Linked DNA regions of Tamandua tetradactyla. The protein of the gene in region 1 interacts with the protein of each later gene in a biochemical or structural test. Links are inferred from orthologs where the notes say so. Each region holds a gene or a part of one and is shown on either strand. Other genes may lie near its edges.

Region 1 (7,909 bases):
ACACACTCACACAGAGTAAATTATGACTTAAATCCTGAACGAAGCCAATGTTCCTTGACTTTCCAATTAATTTCGTCAAGGTAAGCAATTTTCCAACTACGGTTATTTGTTTTGAAGAAATTACTTCCATGATCTAAAAGCTTTTCAAGTCAAAGCTCAGTACACCATCCCTCTTCCCCCACTCCACTGTTACATTAGTCTACCACCTTTCAAAGGCAATATTTAAAATTCTCATCTGCAAGTCAACGTTAAGGCATGTTGCTTGGCAAACAAGCTCCTCCCAAGAATAGTATTATTGTGTAGGGCCTATTATGTCTCTAACATGCAAATAAAAGTATTCCCTTGTGTAATATTTTCCTATTTTTAGGCTACAGGTCACTAGCAATGTTTTATCTGAAATTAAAATATAGACTCATACATCTACTAACTGGACACTTGAAACAGTAAATGAAGCTATTACTTTTATTTCCTATTTCATAAGTAATCTAGAGCTTCTAGAAAAGTCAAATTTAACATACAAGAAGTATGAAGTCATTTTTTTAATCTTCAGAGCAAACCACCTACATTGGACTTCACAAATGGCATGTTTTAAACTAAAAGCAACAAGGTTCACAGCAATTCTAAGGTACCGGATGTGTAACCATTCTCTATTTCATCTTCTAGATACTTTTTGTCATAAATGACAGGCTTAATCAGCTTTTCACTTAAGTTTTCTTTCTGCTAAATTAAATCCCATAAAATACCCTCAAATATTTCATTCCAGCCTTCTACTTTGAAGACGAAAAGTTTTCCAACTATGGACAAGAGCTTAAGATTACTACGATTTATAATCACAAACGCCACACACCGAATAGATACATTTTCAGAACAGAAACAGTAATAGGTTTGTACTCCCAACTATCCATTGTTCAACTGGGTCAAATGTTTCTGTTGCATTTTAAACAGCTTAGCCCTTGACATGATAAGGGTGACAGCCAGCCAAAGACTTAATGTTCTTCAGTGGTATATAATCACAATCCTTTAAGAAAGATGTGGGAACTACCAGCTGAAGTCTGTTAATATGTTAATAGCAACTTTAGCATAAGAATTAATCACAATAACACAACTATTTTAGGAAAATTATGTTCATAGAGCTTCAGATTTTATATGAGAATTGGAACCAGGATACGAGAAGTGGAACCCGAAGACCCATTTTACAACGTAAAACACATCTATTAAGCTAAAAATAGTCATTTGCATTCTACACTTTTTTGGATGTTATATATAATCTGCCAATTTCTGTATGACTGGAAACATTGTTTATGTTGTGAAACAGCCACTTAAACCTGAGAATTAACAGTGTGTGCGACATTTAAAAATTCACTTTTTTGTGTGTCACGTTAATGAGCAAGCATTAACGTGAGAAAAATGTTTTGCAAAATTCCCTAGGAATATGAGCGCAGTCCATTCACCGTTGCATAAATGCAAAACATTTTATCTAAACCATTTATCAAAAATGCTCTTAACTGGGTTAAACAAAGTAAATCTTTTCAAAAATTACTGTTAGTTTCAAAATCATGAAGGGAGGGGAGAGAAACGAGTTTTCGGTAAGAACAACGAAACAACACCACCAATTTAGAAGAATCCAAATTAAATCAATTAATTGACCGCTACCTCCAATAAAGAAAAACCCTTCCCAATCTAGCAACTTTTCTTTTGGATTCTCAACTCTCACCATTTCTCCCGGCAGACTATTTGCTCCTCCCTAAACTCATCCCAACTCCGGCAGCTTCTATGCCTTTATATCTCAGCTTAGAAAATGCCTTTCCCCTCCTCCTACCTGGTGAGGACTTACTCATCAATCCTTCAAAACTCCGGGCAAAAGTCCCCTGAAGTGTACAAGCTTCCTTAGCTCCCCCAGGCAGAACTAGGTGTTCCAAGTTTCCATAGCATTCGGAAAGCCAAACCTCATCACAAGGCTTTCTTCTCTCGTCTTGGGAGCGCAACGAAAAGGAGACTTCCTCCCTCAGTCATTAGAGTCAAGGCAGGCAGAAATGCTATGTGAATGTGCAAGGAATTCCTTCTCTACTTAGACTGCGTGACCCCCTGGAACCAGATCGCATCTCAAGGAGACAAACGAGATCCTATCATTCTTCCCACCAGAGAACGAATACCAGAGGGCACACCCAGAGTCCTGGAAAAAGAACAATGAATGAACACAGAGCCGCCTCGTCTCTCACGACGTCCAAACTCCTCTTGGTCTCCGGGCATCGACTAGCTCTGCAGATTCTCTGCAGTTACAGAAGTGAACCATCCTGGCGGCTCTTCCTTGGCACAGAAGATAGCCCTGGTTCTCCCTTCCAAAGCATCCCGGGACCAATCCTCAGTCTAAGCATCCCAAACCTTTCATTAATAACCCACAGAGTCCTGAAACCAAGGCGAGGCCCTTCTGTCTTTGTGGTGAGGCACTGACCCATTTCCTTTTCTCTTCCCGGATTCCTTTCGTCTTCCCTAAGAGGGTGTTACTTAGTGATGAACCCGGAGAGAAGGCGAAAGCATAGTCCCCAACTCCGCCGCCAGATATAAAAGAAACAAGTCTGTCCTAATGACAACGATACGGCGAAGCTCTGGGTGGATTTTCCCACGGCCAAAACATGAGGAATGTGCACTGGGCACGTAGGTGGCACTGAAACGTTTCCCCGACACACAACGAAATCTGAGTGGGGATGTGGGAACTCGGGTCGCCGGCCATGACACCGGGCCCCCCACCCGCCCAGCGCCACCCGGGGTGACAGCGGCCTGGCCCGGGCCCTCAGCCCGGCAGCTGCCGGGTCGCTCAGTCAGCGCCGCCCCCGCCCGGCTCCAGGGAAACCCGGCCTCGCTCCCCCGGCGTCCAGGGCCGGGCCAGGCCCGGCCGCCTACCTGAGGGAGACGGGGCGCCCGGGTGTCCCGACGTCCAGCGGCGGCGTCTCGTCCGCTCCTCCTCCCCGCGGTGGGTGAGGGAGCGGGAGGCGGTCACATTCGGCGCGTCCCCAGCCCGGGGGACGGGGCCCCGGGCAGACCCCGCATCGTCCCACTCACGCTCCGCGCCTCAGGGCACACGCCCCAAAGCCCGGCCAAGGGCCGGAGGAGAGCAGAAGGGAAGACGTCCCGCTTTACGCTCGCTCTCGTTTCACTCCCGCCATCTAAAATGGCGGCCACAGTGCCCGCGATGAAGAGACTCTCGGACAGCCCCGGCAAGCGAGCCTTCCGCTCGGTACTCTTCCTCCCGACCTGCGGGGCCTCCGACTCTGCTGCGGCTCCAGCCGCCTGAAGGCCCCACTTAGAGCTTGGCTCCGGCATCGATCGCTGGGCCTGATCTCAAGGCCCGCCCCCTGGGGAAGGGGCGTGGCCTCGAGCTCCCGACTGCTGCAGCCGCCATTTTGGAACCGAGCAGGTTGCCAGGGGAGCGAGGAGCTTTCGAGTGTAGCTCCCGGGGAGAGCCCCAAGGCCTGGATGGGGAGAGAAAGCGGCCTGGCCGAGAATTGCGTGCTTGTCAGCATGTTGAGTCTCAGAGATGACCACATGTACACGTGCAGAGAGGACAGTATCCAGCTATGGTGCCTCCTCTCAACAGTCTCACATCCGATGCCGAATCATGGCTCCGCCACTTACCAGTTGCCTGGGAAAATTCCTAAACCTTTCTGAGCCGCAGTTACCTCAGTTGTAAATGAGGTTCATCCCCACCTCCACCAACTCCCATCAGACTGGCAAAAAGTTAAAGGACTGATATCCAGTTTGGTCCTAGGTATATGCACACCTGTCACGTATCCTCATACAGCAGTGGCAGGAGTGAATAGGGAGGGCAATTTGGGATTATTATTAACATTTTAAATGTAAGCGCCCATGCTCCCGGCAGTTCCATTTATAGGCACTCGTTCTAGAGAAATACGTTCACACTCGCGCAAAATGGTATGTGCAGAGATGTTTATTGCCATATTGTTTGGATTAGAGAAACAATAGAAAAATGTAGATTAAATAGGAAACTGGTTAAATGATGCCACACCCACAGTGTGGAATATCCCAACTGTTTAAAACAATACACTAAATCTATATACTGATAAAAGCAAACAAAAACCCTCCAAGATATGAAGTAAAACAAAAAAAAAAAGGCTTTTATGCAAGCACATGCATACAAAGCTACATGTTACATTCATTCTTTTAACTATTTATTGACAGCCTGTTACATACCACACATAGCGTTTAGGTATTAGGAAATCAACAATAATCAAAATCCCTGTCTCCTAGTAATGGGAAGAAAAAATGTGTAAATTCAGGTAGGAATATGTGCACTACAAGGAAAAATGAAGGAAGGTAAGGAGTTAAGGGCAGTGTGCTGGTTTGAAATGTTGTATGTACCCTAGAAGAGACATGTCTTAATCCTAATCCCATTTTGTGAAGGCAGCTGTGTCTTCTAATCCCTATTCAATTTTGTATGTATGAAACTGTAATTAGATAATCTCCCTGGAAATGTGATTTAATCAAGAGTGGTTGTTAAACTGGATTAGGTTAAGGCGTATCTCCACACATTTGGGTGGGTCTTGATTAGTTTCTGGAGTCCTATAAAAAAGGAAACATTTTGGAGAATGAGAGAGATTTTTGAGAGAGCAGAGAATGACATACCCACCAGAAGCAGAGAGTTTACCAACCAGCTATCTTTGGAGGTGAAGAAGTAAATGCCTCCTGGGGAGCTTCATGAAGCAGGAAGCCAGGAGAAAAAGCTAGCAGATGACACCATGTTCGCCATGTGCCCTTCCAGATGAGAGAGAAACTCTGATTGTGTTCACCATGTGCCTTCTCACTTGAGAGAGAAACCGTGAACTTCATCAGACTTCTTGAACCAAGGTATCTTTCCCTGGATGCCTTTGATTGGACATTTCTATAGGCTTACTTTAACTGGAACATTATCTCAGCCTTAGAACTGTAAACTAGCAACTTATTAAATTCCCCTTTTTAAAAGCCGTTCTGTTTCTGGTATATTGCTTTCCGTAGCTAGCAAATCAGGATAGGCAGGAACATGTGATCCTGCATGAAAATAAAAGCCAGGGGAAAACTGAGGCATGGAATGTGGAGAGAACCCTGAATGGGGTATTTTTTTTCCAATAAGAGTGATAACAATAACTCTTACCTCATAGAATTAAATAAGATTGTGTTGTGTGGAGAGCATTTAGCACACCGCCAGACGGTTGAGACTTCAGTAACATGTAGCCAGCCTGCCTGAGTTCAAATCCGAACACTGCCACTTCCTGATCTGGGACTCGGGGAAGTCACTTAAACCTCTCAGTTTCTCAGTATCCTCATCTGTAACAAAAATGTGATAGTTTTTAAAAGTTGTAAGAATTTAGTGAATTTAAGGTGTAAAGCACTTAGAATAGTGCCTGGCCTGTAGTAGTAACATTAAATACAGTTAACTATAATTAAAGCTATCACTTATCATCACCACCATTGTCATCAGCATCAGCATCATCGGGTGAGGCAGAGTGACAGGGTCACACTTGGCTCATTCCCAGGTCATGCCTTCCTTTAATTTCCTCCAGATGGTATTTTCCAAGCATTTTGCAGCTTAGAAAGCTCAAGAAGACTATGCCTTATTCAGACCTCACAGCTGATCTGGAAAGATGGCTACACCTTCGTTTTTTAGATGAGGGACTAGAGACTCAAAATGTTCAATGACTCAAGCCAGGTCACCCAGTGCAGAATCAGGGAGCTTATTCTGACTGCCAGACCAGCCCTTCCCACCATCCCTGATTTGAAAGCCTGTGGAAGAGATAGAGTTGAATCAGACTTTCCCCCAGCTGTCAGGGAGCTCCCAACCCCTATCATGGGGAGGAAAATGACTCCAGGGCCTCCCCATCCTTTGTGTTAACTCCCCTCACCCTTGTCAGTTCAGCAAACAGCTGATGTTCACCTTTTCTCCCGCTGCCTGCAGGTTGATAAAGGTCATTTCAGCAAAAGCTTCTATGGCCTGAAAAATTGGGAGGCTCCATGTATTCTGTTCTCCTCTTCAGAGATCCCAAAGCATCTGGTAACAGGGATTGCAAACTCAAGTGCCTGCAGGTACTAGGCAGATGAGATGAATGAGTAAAGTGGACATGGGGTGGGGAGCTATGGCCCTTTGGAAATGTAGGTCCCATCTAAAGCAGGCAGCTACCACTCAGCCACCACAATGGTTACCAGAGAGGGCTGCAACCCAGTGGTGGTGGCTCTTAGGGTTTTGTCTTTTTTTTTTTTAGTCAAAAATCAGACTTTTATTTTTTTATTCATTCTATAAATATTTATTGAGCACTGAATTATGTACAGAGTACTATCCTAGGTGCTTGGACACATCATTAAACAAAACAGACAGCAGTACCTGCCCTGAAGGAACACACATTCTAGAAAGAGGAGATATTAAAAAATAATAAAAATCATAATAAATAAGTAAAATATGTAATTTGTGAATAAATGCTTTGGGAAAAAATAAAGCTGGGTGAAGGGGACTGGGAGGGGGCAGGTTACAAAATGAAAGAGGGTGGCCTCACTGAGAGGTGACATTTGAGCAAAGACTCAGAGTGAGCCATGGAGATGTCTGGGGGAAGGGCACTTCAGGCAGAGAGAATAGTTAGTGCTTGTCCGAGGAGCAGCAAGGAGGCCAGTGTGGCTGGGGTGGATCTAGTGAAGAGTGAGAGGTAGAAGATGAGGTCAGAAGGCCAGGACGAAAGATGGTACAGGGTCTTGTAGACTTTTGGAAGAACTCCCTTGTTTTGAAAAGCTTTGGCTTTTACTCTGAGCAATATGAGAGTCATGGGACGCAGCTTTTTAAGTTAAAACACCTGTGTGTGGCTGCTGTACTGAGATCAGACTTAAGAAATCAAGAGTGGAAGTGGGGAAAACAGGAAGTATCAGAAAGTCCAGGCGAGAGGTAGTCACGGTGGCTCAGACCAGTAGAGGTGGTGGAGATGGTGAGAAGTGGTTGGATGCTTGGCTACATTTTGAAGGTTGAGCCAATGATGGTTGATTCTCCAATGGCTTAGAAGTGGATGGGGTGGGAAGAGAGAGGAAGGAGGGGTGAGAGAAACAGAGAAGTCATGGGTGACCGTAAAGTTATATGTTAAAACAAACAAACGAACAAAATACACTGTGAGGGCCTAGGGAGAAGATTCAGCTCTTGGGCCATCACTTCCCAATCTCTGCCCTAAAGACTCATGAGATTTAAAATTAAAATAAAGTCCTTAGCCTTTTTATGGAGCCATGAAAAAGCCAGTGGACGCTGCCATGTTCACGAGGTACCTTCCCAGTTGAGAGAGAAACCTTGAACATCATCGGCCTTCTTGAAACAAGGAACTGAAGTGAAAAAAATTGATGCAATAAACATTCCTTGCACACAGCTTTCAATGTCATTTTTTAACCATTTATACGATGAAGACATTGTATGAGACAATGGGCATGTTATTAAATGTTCAGATTCTTTTCGTGATTCCTTTCTCATTTCCGATGAGTTATGAAGTTTTGCTAGTGAAAGACTGAGAAAAATATGAGGTGTTCAGCCAACTAAATAGAGAAGAGTTCCTGCTTGTCTTTTTAAACATTTTTGCCTTGGCAGAACCCTTTGTCGATATGAAGATGCACTTAATCCATATCTGAAAGCTGCAAAGACTTATCTATAAGGATATGGTGAGTATTCAAAAGCATCTTCAAACCAAGGAAATACAAATTACTTCTTCTGTCTTTAAAGTTACAGCATGTGATTCTGCTGGTACGTGCTACCCCTCAACAAAGAGTCATGAGGGGTTTGTTACCCCTCAACAAAGAGACATTTTCATACTTTATTGTGGATCTTATGAAGTGTCATGTTCATGTTTTCCCCCATGGTGTGGGGGAAATGCCTTAACAGTGCTTTCAGAATATCCAT
Region 2 (6,826 bases), on another chromosome or scaffold:
TGAAAAAAAAATCAGAGACAGAAAGAAGATTAGAGGTTACCAGGGCAGTGGGAATTGGGAGTTATTGCTTAAAGAGCACAGAGTTTCTCTTTGGGGTGATGAAACGGTTTTGATAATGGATGGTGATGATCATAGCACAACCTGAATATAATTTGTGCTATTGAATTATATGCGTGAAAGCGGTGAAATGGGAATTTTTATGTGGTATAGATGTTAACACAATAAAATTTAAACATTAAAAAAATAAAAAGATATAAGCAAAAAAAAAAAAAAAGCCATTGAGTGATCTCTTAGGACATTGGTGGCCCCTGAAAGAGTGATTTCAGTGGAGAGCTGGTGGTGGCAGTGGGAGAAAGCCAGATTATAGTGAGCTGAGGAATGAGAAAACAGAGAGAACAAATGGGGACTACCCTTTCAAGAAGCTAAAGAAATGGAAATACCCTGATAGCTTGGGGATGCAAAAAAATCTGAAGAAATTTTAGATTACAGGAGACTCAAAAAAAACAAAAAGTATTCTGGTATCATGGAAGAGGCATCATGGAAGAGGTATCATGGAAGAGGCATCTGTAGTTCTCTCTACAGATGGCAAGTCTATGAATGATTGTTTTTTGGTCTGGCGACACTATTCTTAAAGTTACTCTGGAGGTGAGGGAAGATCAGAGAAAACATATTTTAAGAAACTAAGAACATCTAACACTTATTCGGTAATGCAACAAAAAACTGCGGGGGAGATGTGATGATTTTGATTTACTTAATTGCTCCTGCATTGTGTGTAAGGAAAATACACTTAAAAAGTACAAGAGAACACAGTGAAAGGAATCCGTGGTAAAGATACACATCTTTTTGTAAATCGAGAAATGTCTCTTTATCCTAATTGTGGTAAATTCAGATGTTGATAAACTGGGTTTAAATAAAGCAAGTTATATAAAGAGAGCTTACTTCAGTTTCCAGAACATTCCTCACCTCTCCTACCCTCTCTACTGCCCAACACTGAGTTAGGGACTAGGGCTCCAAAGATGCCCAAGATTTGGACTCCATCCTGAAGGGGATCATAGGAGAAGTATTGTCAGTCATGATACTTTCTGCAAATTACGGAAATTTCCAGCTCAGTCTATGGCGGCTCCAGGGTTGGTCAAATCAGAGGTTCACTTATGCCACCAAGGCTCCAGATTCTTTTGATAATCCTACTGCACCATCCTCAGCATTTCTGCCTTATTCTCTGGTCTGCTTGCCTCAGGTCACAGTGGCTGCTGCAGTTTCCAGTGTCATATCCTCATGACAAGAGTTAAGAGGTAGAGGAAGAAATGTCATCCCTGTATTTCATTTAATCAGCCTCCCAACAAACTATCCTTCATCATCCAAAGGCCAAAAACTACATCCTGAGCTTCTATGGTGGCTTGAAGCTGTATTACCCAGAAAAACATGTTCTTAAATTTAATCCATTGTAAATAGGACTTTCTGATAAGTTGAGTTCAGTTAAGGTGTAGCCCATCTCAATCAGGATGGGTCTTAATTCTAATATAGAGGCCTTTATAAGTGGAGTGGAATTCAGACACACACAGAGAAAGCCAGAAAGAAAGCAGCCAGAGGCTGAAATCAAGGGAACTCAGAAGAGAGAGAAGAGACCAGGAGATGCTGCCATGTCTTGCCATGGTGACAAACTAAGGTCCAAAGATTGCCAGCAGCCAGCCCCAGACCACCAGTTTTCAGGGGAAAAGCATCACCTTGATGTCTTGATTTGAACTTTCTTTTAGCTTCAAACCTATGAGTTAGTAAATTTCCATTGTTTAATGAGAACCATTTCATAGTATTTGCTTGGGCAGCCTAGGAAACTAAAACAGCTCCTGTCTAAACCAATCCCAGCCAAGGTGAATGGGGTTTACCATTGTAATAAGATTCACTCTCTAGGGCTGTGGCTGGGCCTGGATCCTTTCTCCTGATAAGCTCTGGCCTCCTAAGACAGGTTTCTAAAGTTAGGTGGGACTGGCTGTTGGGTAGGCCAATACTTGCTAATCTTTTTCACATTCTGCCGTATATAATGATGTGTTAGGGCTCTCTAGGGAAACTGAACCAATAGGAGATATCTGTGCATATGAAATTTTATAAAAGTGTTTCATGCAACTATGGGAATGCAAGAGTCCAAATTCTGTAGGGCAGGCTGTGGGCTGGCAACAACAATGAAGGGGTTCAATGAATTCCAAAGGAGAAGCTGGCTGGCTGGGTGATGTAGAGATAAAAATTCTCTCCTCTGACTGCTGAAATCATCACCTCTCCCTTAGGTCTTCAACTGATTGGCTTCTCTCATTATGGAAGACACTCCCCTTAGTTGATAGTAGAAATAACCAGGTATAGATGCAATTAACTGATTGATGATTTAATAAACCTGCCTCAGGTTTATTAACCAGCCACAAAATGTCCTTACAGTAAGTAACAGTTAGGCCAGTGCTTGCCTGACCAGACAGGGCACCATCACTTGGCCAAGTTGACACATGAACCTAACCATCACACATGATATACATAGAAAATGATAATCCTTGGTATGGCACACTGGATAAATGTATGAAGCTTTCTGCCAGGAACTATCTGAAAATGTAGGCTGCTTCAGATACTGTTCAGCTGTTCCAAGGATGAGGGGATTTACAGTGGAGCACAATTGAACATCATTCACAGCACCTCCAATGGGTAGTTTTGAGCTAGGCAATCAACAGCATCTGCAAGATTGAGAAAAACATGTACTTCAACTAGAAAACGCATTGTTATAAATAAACACCAAGAAACACAAACCATGCAGTTTTCAAGCCAATGTTTGGGAGCCGTAGCCACAACAAACTTTCTGAGGTCTTGATGCCTTTGCACACATCATTTCTTTCTTCTTGGTGTTTTCTTCATTAGCATCACCTAATGGATAAGTGGGTGAATATACTTGGGTTCAAATCTTTCGCCATCCATCAGCTATGTGCCACCTGGCACATTAATGAGCTCCTCTGAGCCTGGTTTCCCATCTGGAAAGTGGAGTAATACTACTACTGATTTTGAAGGGTTGCCTCTGAGGATTAAATAAGATTATCATGGAAAGTGGCTAGCAACGTTACTGGCACACAGCAAGCCCTCATTAAAAAGAAGGTTTATCTATAGAGAGAGAAAGTGAAAGCGAGAAACATACAGTAGTGTGTTCGGCAAATTTTATTCAACTGCCATTTCCCTCTGAAGATCTCGCAGATATGTGGATAGACCCTCCTATTTTTATGCCACTATTAAGACATTTATCACACTATCCTGTTTACTTGTTCTTTACCCACAGACCCTCTGCCTACACTATCCAGGGATTTCCCCCAAAGCCTCTAACTGTCCTACATTTCATATCCTCTAGTGATTAGTGTTCTGTAAGTATCTGTGGAACAGAACAGGAGTTCTTCTTTTGACCCACCCTGCTAACAGACTGGGCAGGCGGGACCTGGTTCCGAGGCCAAAGGGTGCAGAAGCCTGATAACACCGCGCACTCGCGCGTGGACGCCGATCCGGCTCGCAGATAAGAGTTGGGGGCCCAATCTCACCCCCCAGGCTTTCTTCAACGCCCTACTCCGGGCATCCCCAGCCTGGAAAGGGCAGGTAAGGGCAAGAACCAGGGTGCCGCGGCGGCGACCGCCCCTGGGCAGCGCCTCCACAGGCCGGGACTCGCGGCCCACCCCACCAGCGTTCGCGCCCCGCCCCGCTCGCGCTCGCCCCCGCCCGACGCTGGGCGCCCGGGGCCCCGCGAGACGCCGACGGGCCCGAGCGACTCGCGGACGTGACGCCGCGGGCGGAAGTGACGTTTTCCCGCGGTTGGACGCGGGGTTCGGGTGCCGGGCGGGGGAGCGCTCGGCCGGCGTTTCTCGGGGGACGCCCAAATCATTTTGCCACGAGAGCCGAGCGCGGACGGGGCGTACCCCGACGTGTGCGCGCGGCCCCCTGCCCTGCCGTCCTCCACTGCTCGCTGGCTCCCGCCCCAGGAGGGCGTCATGCCTCCCAAAACCCCCCGAAGAGCGGCTGTCGCCGCCGCCGCTGTGGAACCCCCGGCGCCGCTGCCGCCCCCTCCTGAGGAGGTCCCCGAGCAGGACAGCGGCCCCGAGGAGCTGCCTGTGGCCCGGTGAGCGAGCCGAGTCGCCGCCGCCGCCAGCACCCGGGCAGGCGCCGCGGCGTCCTCGCGGGGAGCCCCCGTCCCGCGGGAGAAGGCTAGCTCTCCGCGCCCCTGTGGCCACCGCGGAGTGTCGGAAAGACGCGGCCAGGGGAGCGGGTTCGGGGGGCGCGGGCGGAGTCGCCAGGAAGAGTGTCGGCTCCAGGTTGACAGGTGTCCGGTGGGTGGGGCTCGGGTCCCTGAGCGAACTGACAGGTGCCGGCTTCCCTTCTGCAGGGCGGGGAGATGGCGGGGTTTTGGGAGCCCCTCACGGGCGGGACGACGACCCGGCGGCGTCAGCGGGAAAGGAAGCGGTTTTTCCTCCCCTTGAAAGACGCTGCACCCGGGCGGTAGTTGGACTTTCTGTTTTGGCCCCTGCGATGCTGGTTCCAAGCATTTTCCTCCGGGTGTGCATTGCATTCTAGGAGAGGCGGCAAAAGCCGCGGACGCTGCCGAGACGTTTTTGGACGAGGTTCTTGTTTGGGGTTCGGAGGCGTCAGTAGAGACTGGCAGCGCGGAACTCTTTAGAGGTGGCAAAATCTTTCTGAGCCATTGAGCGCAAGTGCTGAAAAGTTTCTGAACTTTTTCTTTTTTCTCTTTCGGGATAAAATTCTTTTTGAACGTTAGTCTGCTTCCACATACCTCGTTCTGTCTTCCATTTTGCCTTTTTTTTTTTTTTTTTGCCATTTCGGAAACAAGGCTCCGGGCGGCGTCTGCTTCTTTTGGTTGTTTTTGTTTGTTTTTGCTTGCTTTTTTTGTTTATTTTTTGGGACAAAACTGGTGATGTGCTGTGTGCACATGGAACTCTCCCACCCGGAATTAGTAGGGTCTAAATCCAAGGAAGTCTATATATATATATGAAGGAGATATTTATTTGTATTGCAGCATCCTATTTTTCTTGATTGTGTTACATTGGTAAGTAGTTAAATTTGAATAGTATGTACTTGTCCTTATTCCTTTCTATCAGCGCTGGTCCTGCTTTGAGACTGCAGATTCATTGCAGAAGGATCGGACTCCTTTCTCTCTCTCACCACTCCCTCCTCCATTCTTGTCCATCACCAGGTCCCGTGTTACCCACGCTTAATTGTAGGTTTCTTTCCATTCTCTTGCTACCAACACAGTCATGCCAAACTGTGAAAGATTGAGAACGGCTTTTGGAAATGGCCTGTTGAAGATGATAAAAAATTCTTTTATTGAATAGCCTTGATAATGCTTATCTAAGACAGTGACCCACTGTCTTATGGGTCAAGTAAAAAATCATACCCTCCAGGAAAAAAGAACAGGTCTTGGGGGATGTTCTGAGAGATAAATTACCAGTTTCTAATTAACTCTGATGTGTACAATACTTGAAAATTTCCTTTTGGGAAGAACAGTAAATAGCTTCTCTAAAGAATTATCATAGGGTAACCAGAAATATTTGAAGTTTGCGTTATCACCTGAGAAAAGAAGGACTATTTCTTTCATTTCCCCCCTCCCCCCTCCTTTTTTAACACATTTTTTATTTATCTTCAAGTAATGGAAGCACAAAATTCTCCTGTCAAACCCTTTTATTTCAAAACGATACGTGATATATCTGCTCTTATCCATTTTCATGGGTAATCAAAAGCTGTACATTAACTACTTAGCAAGATTATGACCACTGCCAGGCAGTCCGAGGCTGAGAAACTTGATTTGGGATGAATTCAGGGCCCAGTTCCACCTGCATTTCCAATAACAAACGTCCATTTCTGCCTTGAGAAAGAGTTGAGTTCATGTTTCTGTTGCATCATCTCTGGCTTAAGTGATGTGGTTGGAAGGGAATCTGTCTCTAGGAACAGCACGCCACCTTCATTGTTGAGATAACTAAAAGTTAATTATGTTTTGAAGGAAGACTTGGCGGTGTAGAATAGTGGTCTGCAACATGGATTGTGGAGTTAGACTGCTAGGTTCATAATCCTCCCTTACTGGCAGAAACCTTAGGTGAGTGTTTTAACTTCTCTGATTTGGCTTACTCATCTGTAAGACAAGGGTAATAAGAGTAAGAGTACTTACTTAATATGGCTGACGTGGGAATTCAGTGAAACCAGAATGTAAGGTGTTTTGTGCAGGGTTGTAGTAAATACTCAAAAATTATTAGCTATTCCACTTGCAAATATGATTATTAAAAACTAAAATAAAATAAAAATATGTTTATTAAGTTAATGAAAAGGAGTTAGCCTTGATAATGCTTATCTTGGTTAAGGAAGATCAAGGAATAAGGGTTGAAAAAAGTGTATTATTAATCACAAGTAAGAAATGCTACAAGATAGAGGTATGTGAAACATTGATAAGTATGGGCCTTATGTTAATGAAGGCATTGGCATCGAATTGATTCTGTAATGTCATCTGTAGGCTTATCTCTTCTTGCTTTTGTCATTACCTTATTTTCCCAAATAACTTTAGCTATTATCCTTACTTTCCTTCACAAACCTATTTTACTGCTCTGAAGTATAATAGGTTCACTGTGTCAGCACACATTTTTCGTTGTTTGGAAAGACAATGAAAGATAAATATGTTTAAATTTAAAGCATAATTTTTTCAAAGATGAAATTAATATCTTAAAGTACTTAGTAATGCTGTCTTTCAGGATAGTGCTATTATGTGCAAACCTTTGAAACAAATGTTTACTATATCATTTTGACTTATAAGTGTTTG
Region 3 (7,187 bases), on another chromosome or scaffold:
GCTGCTGCCATCCCAGCCAAACCCGGGCCATAGCAGGAAGCAACCACCTGGCCTGTCTCAGCTAGGCAATTGCTGAGCTTTCTGCAGAGTCTGCCGAGCAGCTGCCAGGGAAGACAAAGTTAAATAAAGACCTCCAGGAGGTGGCAGGGGTGGCTGTCCGCCCGGCCTGGGCTTTATAGCTCATGTCTGTGAGAGGCCCGAGCATGCTGGGCCAGGCAGGAACCAAGGCTGCAGAAAGGACCTAACAGATAGGGCTGGGAAGAGTCACTTGCCCCCATGTCCCTTCTGGAAGCTCTAGAATTCTTTTACCGTGAGCATGAATTCCCGAAATAAAGATGAGGCTAACTGCTAAAACGCAGAGTCTTTATTATGTGCCAGATATTATCCCAAGAAAATTTTAGACTTTAAATAACATAAGCCTCACCACAAACCTATGGCCTGGGTACCAGTAATATTCCCAGTTGGGGAAACTAAGGCACAGAGGGTTCAAACAGCTCTTCAGTGGTGCAGAAGGAGCCTCGCTCTGAACCCAGGTGGCCGGGCCTGAGCTCAGAACCAAGCTGCCAGGCAAACTTTCTACTAATCTTACCACCCTCTCTGGAACACTTTCTCTCTACCAGGTCCCAAGCCAAGTTCTTCTGTGGACCCAATCTCGTTCTATTCTTACAACTGTCTCACAGAGGATGGGGTCACATCAACTCAGTTTGCAGGGGCTCAGGGAGGGTCTGCCTCTCGCTCCACTACAGGGTGAGTCGGCAAGCGACTGGAATGGATTTAGAATCCAAGCTTGCCTGTAGCTGCTGTGGGCACTGAGTCCTGCTGCTCCTCTACTCCTCAGCTCCCCACCAAAGCCCCGGGGCCCAGGAGACTTAGGAAAGGGTTGTAGCTCTCAATGGCAACACAGGAAGCAGTTCTGAGCCAGAGAGAAGGGTCTGGAGGGAGGAGGGCGGGCCTCACTCAGCAGGGCAGGACCAAGTGGCTTTCCAAGCAGCAGCAAAGAGTAACCTCTTTATGTTACAGAAATAGGTGTACCTAAGAATATTTAGGGCTTTGCGGAGATCTTAAGTATTTCCTATTACAATGCCACACAGGGTAAAAAACAGAAGCACTAGAACTTTCTTACCATACTTCAGTGGCCTGCCCAGAGGGCACACTACCCAGGAGACTGATGTGTAAAGGACTGGGAGGTTGGAAGGTGGCCTGGGGGCCAGATGTAGAGGCTAATGTAGTATCCCAGAAGGATGGGGAGTGCCCTTCTAGAAGTTTCTGGATAAATGACTGGGAGCTGGCACATACATGGGAGGGAGGAGTGGGAAATTCCTTACTGGAAGGTTCTGAGAGATACGGACCCCAAGCTGAGAGTGTAACAGGCTCAGGTACATTGGTGCAGGTATGTGGGTGCTGCTCCTAACTAGGGGAGCAGATGAGACCCCTACATCTTACAAGGGCTACCCTGCTGCCCGAAAGCACCATGCTGGTGGTAGGACATGGGTCACCCGGACTTGGGATTCTGGGGTCTGGATTTCAGGGTTCCGTTGTGGGCAGGTAGGCAAAAAAAAAAAAAAAAGGGGGGGGTAGGTAGTGAGCTTGGAATCAGGCCAGGAGGGCGTCTGGGTGAGAGCAGGGCCAATTTGGTGGTCAGAGATTTGGCAGATCAGGCTGGGGCTTGGAGTAAGGGGGAGTGAATGTGGAGTCCGTGGGCATGGGTTTGGGTGTGATTTTCCAGGCTCGGCTTGGGGGTAGGCAACAGCAGGGACCTGTACTGCCAAGTTATTGCAGGAAAGAGCTGGGTTGTAGTTACTCTGGAAGCCAAGGGGGTGGGGTTCCCGGTGTAATGAGAAATGGGCTACAGAGTAAATGAGGCTAAAGGAGAGTGGCTAGAATTAGCTCTCCATCAGGGTGGGAACTGGAAGTTTTGAGTCTGGGGGAAAACCTGGTTCCAAAACCGTGATCATAAACAGGACTGGGGATGCCGGCCTACCTAGCGGGTGTGGGGGTACAGGTCTACACTACAGTGAAGGAGTTACTAGGCCTGGGTCAGGGTCCCAAGTCAGGAATGGGCATCTCAGGGTAGGACAAAGTTCCTTGTTCTCTTTGGAGTAAGCAGGCTCTCTTTCTGGATCTGGTTGGGAATCCTCAATCATAAAATGCCAAGAGGCAATCCCAGGACAGAATTAAAGTATGGAGGGTCTAGATTCGGACGCAGAGCTCTGGGTGTAAATATAGAAGGTCCCAGACAGGACTGAGAGTATCTCCAAGGCTCGTCTTGAGGAGTACAGACCCTGGGGAAGGTGTGCTAGGGATTATCAGGAAATCTCACGCAATAATCCGAGGGGGTCCAGCGGCTCGCGGGGGTAAATTGGGAAGGAACTCAGGGTCCTGGAGCTGAATCGAGGGACCCCGGGCGACAGTGAGGGTCCAGACCGTGGAGTGGGAGTCCAGATGTCAATGGCGGGGTCCCTCCCTGGGCGGAATCAGGGGTCAGGGACCCTGGAGGGGGGGCCCCGGCGGAAGGAAGGCGCGGAAGTGCGCGAGCTCTACCTGATGCCGCCAGCGGAAGAGGCTGGCCGTGTCGATGTTGGGGTGGGTTTCGTCCTCATCGTCCGACACCTCGATGTGGTCCCACACGCTGTAGTCCACCATCTTGCCTGGGCGGCCCAGCCCGCTCCGGCTGCGGCGGCGGCGGCGGCGCTGGAGACTCTAGCTGGCGCAGCCCCGCCCCTTCCGCTTCCGCCCAGGCGCGCGCGCGCCCGCCCGCGGTGACGTCACATCCCTAGTAACCGCGAAGGCGGCACTGGCAACTGAGCCAGCCCTTAAAGGGCCCTGCGCACGTGTTCGGTAGTCCGGGAGTCCCCGCGTAGAACACACCTCATCGAGCACCCGGGCTGCCCTGGGCACCTCCTGGGGTCACATGGGCATGAGCTCCCCTTATCTCCAGGCCCCCCTCGGTGGGCCCTTGCGATGGCCACGGGGAGGTGGGGGAGTTGGTGAGGCTGAGGGCGAGGACTGTCTCTTTGGCCAGGCCTCAGTGACATCATCCGGAGCCCCCTGCAGGGGCGGGGCCTCGGCGAGAAGACCCGCCCCTACCCCTTGTGAGGGTTAGCCATCCCTGACCTGGGGAAGGGCGTCTGATCTTAAGGGACCTATCCTGCCAGAGGGGTACCCTTGGGAGGCTCTACGTGGGGGAGAACGATTTGCCCCTGCTCTTGGGGAGGTGGGCGGTGGGAGGGAATGTGGCATTGCCTTGGTGTTTGGGGTTCCCTCGGCTCGGATCACGGCCTCCATCTACCAGATCCCTTTTCTGCCCCCACGTTCTGGCGCACACACCCCCTCTCTGGAATCACCTGGGCCCCCCTAATTCTCCAGCGCGCCCTTCGCGGCGTCTCCCCGTACGACCACTGAGCGTCGCTAATGTCTAGCCAGCGGCGGGGAAGCGTGAAGGGGCGGGTCGGGGGCTTTCCTCGGCATGGTAGTCTGGGGCCGCTCACAGCCCCTCCCCTTTCGTGGGGGGCCCCCTTCCCGGGCCGGCGCTCCCAGGACTGCCGTTACTCTGAGCTTGGTGAAGCCGAGCGCATACTTCTATAAACCCAACCCACGTTTTGATCCCGGCATAAAAGTCCGCGTTGCAGCCTAGGGCCAGGTTTATCCCAGATTAAGGGGCGCTGGGCAGGGGGGCGTTTGAGAGGGGAGAAACTCCACCAACCCGACCAGGGGCGCCTCTTTGCAGACTCCCCGGGGGCGGATTTTTCGGGGGCCTGGAGGGAATGAAGAAAAGGTCTCCAGATGGGGGGTGATTCCCCGGCTCTCGGAGGAGGAGGGACCAGCCAGACAAAAGCGCCCTCTCGCGCGTTCCCCTCGCCCTCCATTCAAGCCCGCGGGTGGGCGCGCGGGGGCGGGGGAGTCCCTCTCTCCTCCCCCTCCCCCTCCAGCCGGGCCAGTCCAGCCTCGCAGCGGCCGTCACGGCCCAGGCACGCGCGCGCACGGACCCACACCACAGCGGGACTCATAATCGCACACACACACACACACGCGCGCGCACATACACAGACACCGGCAAACAAAGGGTCTGGACGCCCCCTTCCCCTCCTGCCCCTAAGCCGGAGAGGGCGAGACACCCCATCCCCAACGCCCCCCAGTTAAGGTAAGCTTCCGGCTACGCGTTGCAGTGGGGAGGGGGTCCTGCGCTCTGGAAGGAAGGGACTGGGACCATTGAGGGGGGGCTTCCTCTGGCCTCCAGAAATGCTGGGGTCCCCGCGTCCACCCTTTGCAGGCTCGGGATGTGCGGGTCGGACCCTGGATGCTGAGGATTCCCAGGTAGAGAAGGTGGGGGGCAGGAGTGGGTCTCTCCCTGACTTCCGAGCTTGGAACTGCCCCGCCCCAGAGAACCAGGTGCCAGGATCCCCAGCTCCCAGAACTAGGGGCAGGGTGCCGGCAGCTCCCCCATCAACGCCCAGCATTTCCTAATCGACTGCCAGCAAAACATCTTCAGCCCTGGAGGCCGAGTGAGAGAAACCATCCCGAGTTGCTTTGCACTCTCCCTCTGTCCCACCCCCACCCCCACCCCCCACCCCCGCCCCATCAGTGCACCCCCGTTGTGTTTCTTGTTCCTGGAGGGGGAGGGGCCGGGAATGCCCCAGCTTCCGCTGCTGCGGTGGGAGCCAAGGAACGGGGATTTCCCTTCCCCTTCCTGAGCCTCAATTCCTTCATCTGCAAAGTGGGTAAAATGACCCGTAGGTAGCTGAGCGAGGGCCAGGTCCTCCTGTGCCCCATCAGGCATTGTCAGCTCATCCCACACCTATTTCTTGAGTGCCTACTGGGCACTGGGCACCTGACAGGTGTGGAGGTCTGCGGCAATAAACAGAACCAGCCAGGCAGGCTGCTAAAGGAAGGAGATCAGTGGGTAAAGGGAGAAGAGCCTGTGGGCAATCTCAGACTGCCAAGAGGAAAATTTGGTCAGGCCTAGAAAGTTGGGAAGTGGAGTGGGGAGGTGGGGATATAGGACTCACATTTAAATAGAATTTCTGGGTCCTGTCTGCCCTCCTTGTGCTCTGAGCTGCAGGATGGTCGGGCTGAGTGCAGAGCCGCCCAATAAATGTTGAATAGATTAAAGGGGGGGGTGTGTTAGACTAAAACTAAATTCGTAGGCTTTAGATCATGAAGCGATGTTATCATGAATCAGTCCAAACCCCATCCCACTTTACATATGAAATGATTAAGTCCCTGAGCCCAGAGAAAGGGGAAAGATGTCACCTAAGGCATCACCCGCAGGGCAATAGGGTGTTGTCCTTCCCATAAAAGTTTACAACCTGAAGGCATGATTGTAAACATCTGGGAAAGGAAGGGGGCAGAGGGTAGCCAGAGCCTGTCCCTCCTCACACTTCCACAGAGACACAGCCCTGTATTCATTCAGTATGTAAGTATTTACTGAGAGCCTACTATATGCCAGGTGCTGGGGAGCCAGCAGTGAACAAAACAAAACACCTGTCCTTGTGGAGCTGACATTTAGTGGAGGAAACAGAAAAGAGGCAACATATACAAACAAATTAATAAATAACAAATTGTTATTAGGATTGTGATGGAAATAGAAGGTTTTATAACAAGAGAGAAAAATTGGGGAGGTGGGCAGCGGACTTCAATTTCGGTATCTGGAAGACCTCTCAGAAGAAAGGAATTACTCTTCACACACACACTCAAACCCACACAAACACAGCCACACTAACAAATACCAGAACCCAGATAACATGAGGGCACATAGCCCAGCAGTGGCTCTGCAGAAATTTGAACCCAAATCTACCCATTGTGTAATGCTGCTTGTCGCTGCATCTGCCTGTATGACCCCACCCCCACCCTACCCCCACCCGTATCCTGGCAAAGTCACAATCACGCAGGCACATCTGACCAAATGCCCATGTAGAACTCCACCTAGGTAGGGTTGCTTTGTCACACACATACACTCCTACAGTATTGTCTGTCTCAACTATGCAACCCTGAGGCTTCTAGAAAGCTCTGCCGGTTCAGTGGCACCTGCACAGCTGTGTCCAAAGTCTCATGTACACGGACATGTGCCGAGCCCTGCTTCAGCTCCAGGCATGGAGGCCTCGGTACTTCTTGCCCCTCTGCAGGACTGGCTCCCAGGGACAGGAAGCCAACAGAGATATTTGTCCTCACTTCTTCTGAGGGACTTGGTGAGTGGGCAGGGGTTGGGGCGTCAGGTGAGGCCAGAGGCTACCAGCCGGGTGGGTGCCGATTGTGCTGACCGGCTAGGAGCAGGTGGGAGAAGCCTCTCTCAGCCTGAGCCGGGTGCCAGCTGTCCAAAGCGACTTGCTCTGCCATCTGGACCCCCTCCCTGGCCAGGCTGCTGCCCGGGGGAGGGGAAGGCAGGCTTGCTTTTTGCTTGGTGTGATCTCTGCAAAAGTGCACGCATGTCTGGGCTGAGCTAGGGCGCGTGTTTCTGTTGCTCTCCCTTGGGCTGTCAAGCCCCCCTGTCTTCCATTCCTTCCTTCCACATCTACAAATCTTTGAGCACCGGCCATGGGCTATGGAGTTTCCCTTGTTCAGAATTCTGAGGACTTTCAAGACGGTGATAGTGGAGATAAACAAAGCACAGGTCATTCCAAGAGTGTGGAACCCTGTACCACTTCACTGGCCGCACACCCATGAAGCCGGCTCTGGACAAAGCCTAGAATAAGAGAGAAAATTCCCCTGCCCTCATGGACCTGAGGGATTGGGCAGTGGAGGAACAGGTCAATGTAAGATGTACCAGGAGTGATGAGAGAGAGAGCTGAGAAGAGAAGTAAAGCTGGGTGACGGGTAGAGAGGGACAGCATGAATGTGTGGGGGGAGTCCATCTCTGGGAAAGCTTCCAGAAGGAGGTGACTTTGAGCAGAGATCTGAAGGAGGTAAAGGAGTCAGGCAGATTCATTCATTCCTTCATGAAATATTTGGTGAGGACATACTGCAAGCCAGCATCGTCCTAGGCTCTAGAGACCCAGCAAGGAAAGAGACCACCAACCCTGCCTTGCACCCTAATCAAAGGACGGGGCATTAATAAATTAAAATAAGTCAATGATTTTGTTTGAATTTATAAGTCTAAAACAAACCAAACAAAAGCAGAATCAGGGGGTCAAGGAGATTGGAGGAGCACAGGATATCGGAGGCTTGTTTTCCTGATAGCAGGAATAGCAAGT

What was found. The genes of interacting proteins can lie anywhere in the genome.
Region 2: the proteins of RAF1 (region 1) and RB1 form a complex in vitro, tested with the Homo sapiens proteins (3 studies listed by BioGRID, with this or other methods). The link is inferred for Tamandua tetradactyla from reciprocal best matches to the Homo sapiens genes RAF1 and RB1.
Region 3: the proteins of RAF1 (region 1) and CDC37 form a complex in vitro, tested with the Homo sapiens proteins (2 studies listed by BioGRID, with this or other methods). The link is inferred for Tamandua tetradactyla from reciprocal best matches to the Homo sapiens genes RAF1 and CDC37.

The regions. Positions count from the first base shown.
Region 1 is NC_135335.1:36,145,587-36,153,495, reverse strand, and holds the start of RAF1 (RAF proto-oncogene serine/threonine-protein kinase), read right to left. Parts: upstream 3,013-7,909; 5' UTR 2,902-3,012; intron 1-2,901. UniProt on the Homo sapiens protein: Serine/threonine-protein kinase that acts as a regulatory link between the membrane-associated Ras GTPases and the MAPK/ERK cascade, and this critical regulatory link functions as a switch determining cell fate decisions including proliferation, differentiation, apoptosis, survival and oncogenic transformation.
Region 2 is NC_135330.1:109,981,734-109,988,559, reverse strand, and holds the start of RB1 (retinoblastoma-associated protein), read left to right. Parts: upstream 1-3,811; 5' UTR 3,812-3,998; coding exon 3,999-4,126; intron 4,127-4,391; exon of another isoform or gene 4,392-5,068; intron 5,069-6,826. UniProt on the Homo sapiens protein: Tumor suppressor that is a key regulator of the G1/S transition of the cell cycle. The hypophosphorylated form binds transcription regulators of the E2F family, preventing transcription of E2F-responsive genes.
Region 3 is NC_135337.1:91,391,076-91,398,262, reverse strand, and holds the start of CDC37 (hsp90 co-chaperone Cdc37), read right to left. Parts: upstream 3,016-7,187; 5' UTR 2,644-3,015; coding exon 2,542-2,643; intron 1-2,541. UniProt on the Homo sapiens protein: Co-chaperone that binds to numerous kinases and promotes their interaction with the Hsp90 complex, resulting in stabilization and promotion of their activity. Inhibits HSP90AA1 ATPase activity.